Linked DNA regions of Tribolium castaneum. Each later gene encodes a partner of the first gene's protein in a complex. Links are inferred from orthologs where the notes say so. Each region holds a gene or a part of one and is shown on either strand. Other genes may lie near its edges. The genes, in order: Not10 and Rga.

Region 1 (4,403 bases):
GATTGGCTTGTTCACTTTTTATAATGGCCGACCTTAAGTGGACCAATGATATTCAAAAAGTAAATTTTTGAATGAATCAAAAAATCTAAGGTGATTGGTTTTCGGTAATACCATGATGGCCGACCTCAAACGGCCCAATCAAAATGCTTACAAATTTTACAATTACGTGCCTAATTTTACGTTAATTCATAAAATAATGGGTCTGTCTTTGTCGCACATTCTCACTTTTTCTATTCATTCTACCCCTCTGTGCAATATTGAAGAATCTGCTAGATAAAAACAAGCAAAACTGAGACACTGATAGGAAATAAATAACGAATATCAAATGCATATTAGATGAAAAGTCTTTTATTTTAGTCAAGAAAGGGATCCTCGTTGAAAATCATTGCGCATGCGCGCGCTCTTTTCAATTTGACGTATGACATTTCGAAAATGATTCTAAAAAATCCAACAAATAAAACGAAACTCTGTAGAAAATGTCTTAGGTAATTTAAAATGCGAAAGGGGGACAAGCGGCATGTAAACATGTAAGTAGTTTTTAAATGTAAGAGCAGTTAAATTAATCAATTACATTTCGCTAAATTGGACTGAAAATTGGACGTTTTTTATAAAACCGTCCTGAAAATGACATCATTTTGTCAATATAGTTCTTTGTTTGCACATTTTTTTGTAGAAACGCAATTATTATTTCGCTAAAGTTTGTGAAAAATAAGCATAAAAGTCGCCGAATAGTGTCACTTTTGCGTTTAGGTTTTTCATGAAAAAACTCAATAATATCGCACAACTCTGTTATTAAAAATTACTCAACAAGTCAGAGAGTTGGGATGAAAATAATTTAATTGTTCTTATTTTATTTGGTCAATTATTATTTATGTAAAGATTAATTATTCATAATTATTTAGAGAATCTTTTGGTAGTTGCAACTTGAAAAAACAGAGTAAAAAACATGTTTCGCATTTTTTTTTAATCCAATATCTTATCCCGAAGGTACCTACTGATTTATTGTATAAAAAAAAGATGCAATTTTTCTTTTGTGTATTTAGTCTAGTTCGCATTCAATCAAAAATTCTTCAAAAATAAAACAAAGCTTAACGAAATATTGTTTTACGTTCTTCAAGTCTTTAGACCTTTTAAACCAACGTCTTAGACTTTTGTGAGATCTCGTTAAACAGTCAGAAAAATTAAGACGATAACTGTGGTCGACGTAACATACATTATTTTCACCTTTCTCGATATAGTTATTGTTGCCAACTTAATCATAGGTCACTTTGATCAGAAATTTCGTACAAATTCTCCGAAACCAGACATAAAACTAAAAAAAAATTTTCATTCCCTTACCTCTTTAGTGGCCATAATACAACACTCAGCTAAGCGCATCCACAACCTCGCGTTTCTGTGGTACCTCCGCACTGCAATTATCAAGCAATCAAACGCCTGAACCGGCCTCTTGGCATGAAGAAGAGAAACTCCCAAATTATACATCAATTCGTGGTATTTTGAGCCACCCAGTGCATACAAGGGTTTGTCATCCATGCCTTTGTCTTTTTTTGCATTGTTTGTTAAAGCTATATCCTCCTTGAGGGCTAACTGAAAGTAGTGGCAAGCCAAGTTGGGTTTGCCCATTGCGTGATGAATCACACCCATATTGTTGTAAAACATCAAAGTTGAAGATTCGCCGCTGTCGCTAAATAAATTCAAATGCAAAAAAATATTAAAAAAATATAGAATTTTACTTGTAGACCAGATAATCGGGTGGTACAGCCGCAAGAAGTTTCTGGGACTCTATCAAGTTTCCTTTGAGGTATTCTAAATTAGCTGCCAGGAACAAGGCTTGGAAATTCTGTTTGTCTTTTAGCAAATTGCTGATTTCTTTGTTTGCGATTTCGAGATTGTGGTTCATTAGGTAACAACGGATTTTGTATTTAATTAGTTTTTTCTTAAACTCTTCCATTGCTGGGTCTAGGGGCTGTGGCGCTTTCTTGTCTTTCTCTTTAACGGTTTTGTCCAACAATTTGATGTTTGGCGTCCCGTTGATTAATTGATTTTCCAGATAATTTATTAAACTGAGCGCTTTATCAGACTGACGCACACATAGCTGTAACTCAATGGCAAAAAGACTAACTTGTTTGGCTAATGCGTCATCTGTAACAAAGTAAATTAAAAACAAACAGTCACGTTGGAAAAATTGTACCCATTGGTTCAATAAATTTGTACACTCGATCCATTATGTAAATTGCATTAGTGTACTGTTGTTGATGATATAACAGAATGGCCTGATTATAATGAACAATGCATTGGTCCACATCATCTAATTTATCGAGACGAATCTTAAACTAAAAGTTAATGAGCCTTATTAAAAGATTCCCACCAGGAGGACGACTGTAATACTTGATTGCAAATTGAGGTTAAATTCTTTTGAAATGTTTCGTTCTTCCTAAAATCGCTTTTGCAATATTCCACAAGAGCTTTATTGTGGGCCACTTTAAAATCGTTAGTTCTATTGTCCAGTTTATTGATAAATTGGAGCGCACCGGCGTAATTATTTCTACAAAAGGGTCAATAGTTTTCGTTTTTTTTGGAAGCCTTAAACATACTTTTTAAACTCATTCAAAGCCTTTTGTGCATATTCCTGCTCCTGCTCTGTTACAACGTCCACAGCTCGTTCAAACTCTTCTTTCTCAGCCATTGTATTTATTGGATTTTTTGCAAACACAGGCACTACTTTTTTATTCACAAGCTTTCTATAAGTGAGGTTATGTAACAATAAACCCGACTTTCACTACTGTAAAAAACCTACGGATCGTAAAATTTACGTTAATGGAAGTTTAAGTTCGTTGTTATATTTCTGTGAAATAATTCAAATCTTTAGTTCCAAAAAATTTTCGAAAAAAAATTTTTTGACAGGTCAGTGGCGACTCGTGAAGTCCAAGATTTAAATTTTGAATACACGAAAATACCACAGAAAAAATTTGATCGTTTTTCGGCTTTAAATGTCGTCTGAATTATTTGATCATCAATGAGTGTAAACTTTGCAAGAAATTTGAAAAAATCCTGTAAAAATTCATACAAGTTGGCCAACCGAATGTGATTTGCTAGTAACAATTCTAGTGTTTTTTTCTCCCTGAATGAAATTGACATTTGGGAGGCAATCCGTGTTGCCTACCCGTTTATTTATTTAGTTCAAGATCGCCTCTAATTTATTCCGTATGCTGTCGTATTTCTAAAATTAGTGCCAGAAACAGATTTTCTCGAATTGCACAGTCATACGGCGGCGTTTAATCAAATCCCGGCGGATGATGGAAGGGGCAGCTACTCCGGTCGCTGAGGGGCCACCCGAAGAGGCAATTAAGCCAATTGGCTGCTCCCATTACAAAAGAAAATCCAAATTCGTGGTGAGTTTTTGCTAGAACAGACCGTCCGGCCAATGTTGTTTATTGAGTTTAATTGAATTAGCGCCAATTATTGACTCAATCACGTCGTGTTTTCTTTTCAAGACTCCGTGCTGCAAGAAAGTGTACACTTGTCGGTTCTGTCACGACGAAAAGGAGGATCACTCAGTGAACAGGAAAGAAGTCACGGAGTTAATCTGCACGATATGCGAGAAAAGGCAGCCTGTTCAAGCAGAGTGTCAGAACTGTGGCATCAGATTTGGCAAAGTAAGTCCGTGGGAAATGATTCTGATGCAATTTAAGCGCCTGTTTCAGTACACTTGCTTGGAGTGCAATCTTTTCGACGATGAAGACAAGAACCAGTTCCATTGCTCTGGCTGTGGCATTTGCAGGATTGGGGGCTCGGACAAATTTTTCCATTGCGAGAAATGCAACATGTGCCTGCCAATCCAGCTCAAAAACGGGCATAAAGTAAGGGTGAAAAATATCAAACTCATGTAAACACCATTCCAAAATTAAACGCTGCGCATGCGTGTGTAGACTAGATTTCAGCCGTGTAAGACATCCGAACTTGTTTTTGCAGTGTGTGGAGAACGTATCGCGCGCCAATTGTCCTGTCTGTCTTGAGGACATCCATACTTCCAGAATTCCATGCCATATTCCAATGTGTGGCCATTTGTTACACCGCACTTGTTTCAACCAATTACTCAAAGCGGGACATTATGCTTGTCCCATATGTCAGACGTCCCTTATGGATATGACCCAGTTGTGGAAGTATCTTGATAATGAAGTTGCTCATACGCCAATGCCGCCACAGTATAACTGTTATTTAGTGCAAATTTTATGCAAGGATTGTCATAAGGTGATATGGTAAAATTGTATGGCTTGTTGTAACTTTGACTCATTTAGGAAGGAACTGTAAAGTTTCACGTGATTGGTTGCAAGTGTATTCATTGCGGTTCTTACAATACTTGTCGGATTAAGGGGCCGTTTAAGCCGTCAGGTTGGTATTAA
Region 2 (4,338 bases), about 6.9 Mb from region 1:
AAATAGTCAAAAAAATCGTTCTCAAAAATATATTTATTTGAGAGAAGAATTATTGACTTGAGTCTTGAAAAAATGTAGTTTCAACAATTTTTTTCGGCATTTTCACCAAAAGTTTATTAACGAAGATGAAAACATAATTAGCAAATTTTTTCGTAAAGTTAAAAAAACATAATGTTATTGTTCAAAAATGCATATCCCATAAACACGTACTTCAACAAGAACCAAAAACAAAAAAAGACATACGATTTAAAACATCGCATAGATCACTATACTTTTTTTATAAAGCTTTTTATATCTTTAATAAATAAAAAAAGAATGGTAATTTAGTTATTTCTCTGTCTTTTGAACAATTATTTTTCGAAAATTTTTGCTAAAAATAACCAAATTAGATCGAAATTAATCTTGTTTTAGCTTGGTTGGCTAGATTTACTCAACTCTTGAACTGCTGGAGACATATTTATATCAAAAATATCGTAAAATTACCAAAAATATATCGAAATTGTTGTTCTTTGTTTATGTCACTCCATTTTGAGCAAAATTTCTTCATAAATAAGCCAAAACATTTTTAAGTTTTGAAACACTTTTTTGAAATAAATCCTCGGACAGTTTTCGCAAAAACAGGCAGAAAAGACACACATGTATCTTAAAATTTACATTATTTTAGAGCATTTTTATACGTTTTACAGCCAAAAAAGGAATTATATCGCGAAATTTCGTTAAAACAAGCCAAAAATTCATTAAATACGACAAAAAGTGTTGTTTTTGGATTTTCAACTGTGTTTTTACAGTTGATATACTCTATCTTTCTGACAATTATTTTTATCAGTTACTCAAGCCTTTAGGAATTTTAATAAATTGAGGATAAATGAACTGACAAAAACAGTTTTTGCAGTGTTTCACAACAATGACACGCTTTTGTTTAAACTTTCATAAATCAAAATCATTATTTATTTACACAACTGTATTTCTTAGCTAACTGTACTTTCGAAAATTACTCTCTACAAACATTTTTTTCCTTTTACAACGAATGCTTGTGGTTCTCCAATTTTTTAATTTATTTTGGTTACCTAATCTCTCGCGTGTGTTTCGACCAGTTGTCGATTAACCGTTTTATAAAAAAAAATTAAAAAAAAAACGTATTTGCACAGACACGTTTCATCAAAAACAAGTTTAAAAATTGCTCGTTAAACGTAAATAAAAATCGGATTATTCCACTGTATTATCGGAAATGTCTTCAAAATAAAATCTTGCAAAATCGGTATAATTATATTATAATCAATGCATTTATAACAACGTAATTCAGTGACACCAACATTTACATATAGTAAACAGTTTTTTGTCCCTAATACATGGCAACACCTGTTATTATCACACACCCTTTGGGAAATATTTTCACGGTTGGGTTTCAACAATTTTTATAAACATTAGCAACTAAAATCACCGATAATTTAGTGTTGCCAATAATTTTTTACCCAACTATGAGAAAAATTGTGGTCAATATAATTTATTTATTTATTTGAACGCACGGTATTTTTAACACCTTTCTAAGTAAAACGCATTTATGTTACGGGTCAGTTGCCATTTTAATTGTTTCAGATTTTATCCACTCTTTGCAAGCTTTGTTCAGCGAATTATTCGCACAATAAATGAAAATCAAAACTGTTAGGAATAACAAAAAGCAGTTTGGGCTAATTTACAAGTTTAAAGTTTTTGTGTAAAAAATAAGGAAAAATCGACGGCGTTCCTCGAAAATAAAACGCAAAATCAGTTATCAAAACAAATATCAATCGCCTTATCGATGTTATTTTAGCTGAGATAAGTGGCACTCACCGGATTTCGCGCTGTTTTTGTCGTTCTCCCGGGCACTGGAGGAGCCGTCGCCTCCACCCCCCGTGTTGTTTTTCTCCCCCGACGTGCTCCCCCCGGGCGATACGCCCTCCCGATTTTGCGTTCCCGGCAACGCAGGAAAGTCCTCTGACGACATAGTAAACTCACTCGCTTCGGACGTGGGCTGCTTGACCATTCCTACGTAGGGCTTCGCCCCCGGCATGGGGCTCGGCTGTGGAACGTTATCACCCGAACTTCGATTCGTTAACGAGGGAAATTCACTAAGATCCAGTAACGAAGGGGTGTTAGTGTCTCCTGAGCCAAACACAGAATTAAAGGAACTATAACCTCCCAACGAGTTCATGTTACCCATTTGGCTACTATTTCTACAACAGAACAGAAATGTTGCCATTTGCGCTTGACACTTAGGTTATGGTCGCTTTTGACATAAACAAACCCTAGCTGCGGCAGATTGAGGTCAGCTAGAGCTGCTTATGGCGGTGGAAGGATAGTTACCCCATTGCGGGAATTCCCCGCCGGTCTGAAGGCGCCCTTTGCCCGAAAACGGGGGTAACATGACCAGACATAGAGTTACTTCCGAAGCTAACACTGGATCTTCCGAGGCTGCTACCTCCTATGTTCCTTGTAAAGTTCAAATTCGCCATAGCTATCTGGTGCGGGGCGAGCCACCTTTTAGCATAACGGAACTGCAGTAGGACACTGAAAAAATCGCTCCTTGCTTCGCCACACTTCTTATGTTAAATTATCAGCACAAAAAATACAAATAACATCATAAACACACGAAACTTAAATGCACGATTTTCGCTTCAACTAGATTATTGAGACCACTTGATGAAGAATGCACGGTTCCAGGCTCGGTTAAAAGCACACCAAAAACCTCTCGCTATACAAAATAAAGGCGTAATTTTGACAAAGTAGATGTTATTGTCCAAGTTCGGTCCGCCATTACCGTCGGAAATGTCAAGATGGAGAGTGTCAACTGTCAGCCACGGCTTCGACCCACCGCCGAAAGATGGACATTGCCGCAGCCAATGCTAGTTGCATAACCCACACCTTCAATTACTCGATCCTAACTTAATTTCACCTTTACCCACTTCATAAAAAACACAAAAAACTAAGTTCTCGTGCCCCGTAAGCAAAAATAAAAAATATACTTACCTTATTCAACGTTTTCCGTATAGTCAAAGTATTCAAGCGGTAATGTTGGTTGCATAATTCGCATTATTTAATTACTTTGCTTATAAAAATGTTATTAACTATTATTTATTATCTTATTATGTTGATCGCCCATTGATATCAATAATTTTGACTAACAAAATCATAGGTCCATTGTTACCCGGCGCATCCACCATTTTTGCAAAAGTGTAACCAATAGATGGCACTGTTTTTTTGTGATTTTTTTTTATAGAAACTTTAATCAAAATAACGAAAACACAATCCACAATTAGATTTCGGAAACTTATAACGTCAAAATTTGACTTCTTATCGTATTATAAGACAATTTGTATAACGATATTGAATCGTCTGATGCGAAATAAAACAAAACACTATTATAAACGTATATTTATTATTATTACTTCGTAACAATGATTAAAGACATGCACCTTATAAAAATCGAATGACTTTTCTGGTTGGTAACAAAACTTACCAGGAAAAAAGGAAAAACACAAGTGTGTTAATATTCGACAATATTTCAAACTTGTGCAGCTTACAAATACGACTAACTTAATGCCGACTGGCCTACGACTAATCGACTAACCCAGCCTGCACGATATCACACAGAAAAAGACTCGAAAATTCACAAGATAACTCCAAATACCCAATAGAATTAAAGCTTAATTACAACTGAATCAAACACTTATTCAGCACAGCTAAATAAAAAAATATCAAAAGCAATAAATTCCAATAAAATAAACCTTAAAATTAACTCAATTATCTTGCAAATAATCAAAATACTGATTCACACACACACTACTAACAGTCCCTCCGGTAAATTTTCTCCATAATTTTGAAAAACAACTTGTGTGGAAGTCCTTTGGAAATTTGCTGGATGTGTGTACGGATGATGTTGAAGCTCTCCTCCTCATAGATGGCATAAGTGTTTGGCAAACTCAACTCTTCGTACAGGTTTCGGATGATTCGGACTGCTTCAGGGTCGGGACGGCCGTAATACTCCTCCATTATTTTTCGCTGGGTGGGGTTGGCCCTTTGGAGGGCCACCACAGCCAGCCAGGAGCACTTGCCCTCGCGGATGTCGTTGCCCTTCTTGCCCGTCACCTCAGGGTCGCCGAAGCAGTCCAGGAAATCGTCCTGTTCAAAATTCGAACTGTGATTTCTCGACGCAAAAATTCTCAGAAAATTGTAAAATAAAATAACGCCTGTTATTCAATTTTGTTAAATTAAAATTTTGATTTCTGCTTTAGACCAAAACTAGCTAAATTAGAAGCAAGCCTTTGTCGTTTGTCATTTTATCTTCAACAAAAAAAGATT

What was found.
Region 2: Not10 (region 1) and Rga share a complex: the UniProt entries of both Drosophila melanogaster proteins name them as parts of the CCR4-NOT complex. The link is inferred for Tribolium castaneum from reciprocal best matches to the Drosophila melanogaster genes Not10 and Rga.

Annotation. Positions count from the first base shown.
Region 1 is NC_087396.1:15,622,201-15,626,603, reverse strand, and holds the start of Not10 (CCR4-NOT transcription complex subunit 10), read right to left. Parts: upstream 2,945-4,403; 5' UTR 2,798-2,944; exon of another isoform or gene 2,742-2,797; 5' UTR 2,687-2,741; coding exon 2,595-2,686; intron 2,546-2,594; coding exon 2,389-2,545; intron 2,334-2,388; coding exon 2,192-2,333; intron 2,143-2,191; coding exon 1,734-2,142; intron 1,685-1,733; coding exon 1,339-1,684; intron 1-1,338. Other genes in the region: Rchy1 (RING finger and CHY zinc finger domain-containing protein 1), read left to right, coding at 3,294-3,392, 3,495-3,656, 3,705-3,860, 3,973-4,251, 4,299-4,392. UniProt on the Drosophila melanogaster protein: Component of the CCR4-NOT complex which is one of the major cellular mRNA deadenylases and is linked to various cellular processes including bulk mRNA degradation, miRNA-mediated repression, translational repression during translational initiation and general transcription regulation.
Region 2 is NC_087396.1:22,481,476-22,485,813, reverse strand, and holds the start of Rga (regulator of gene activity), read right to left. Parts: upstream 2,837-4,338; 5' UTR 2,493-2,836; coding exon 2,344-2,492; intron 2,214-2,343; coding exon 1,831-2,213; intron 1-1,830. Other genes in the region: Fpps (farnesyl pyrophosphate synthase), read right to left, coding at 3,823-4,158. UniProt on the Drosophila melanogaster protein: Component of the CCR4-NOT complex which is one of the major cellular mRNA deadenylases and is linked to various cellular processes including bulk mRNA degradation, miRNA-mediated repression, translational repression during translational initiation and general transcription regulation.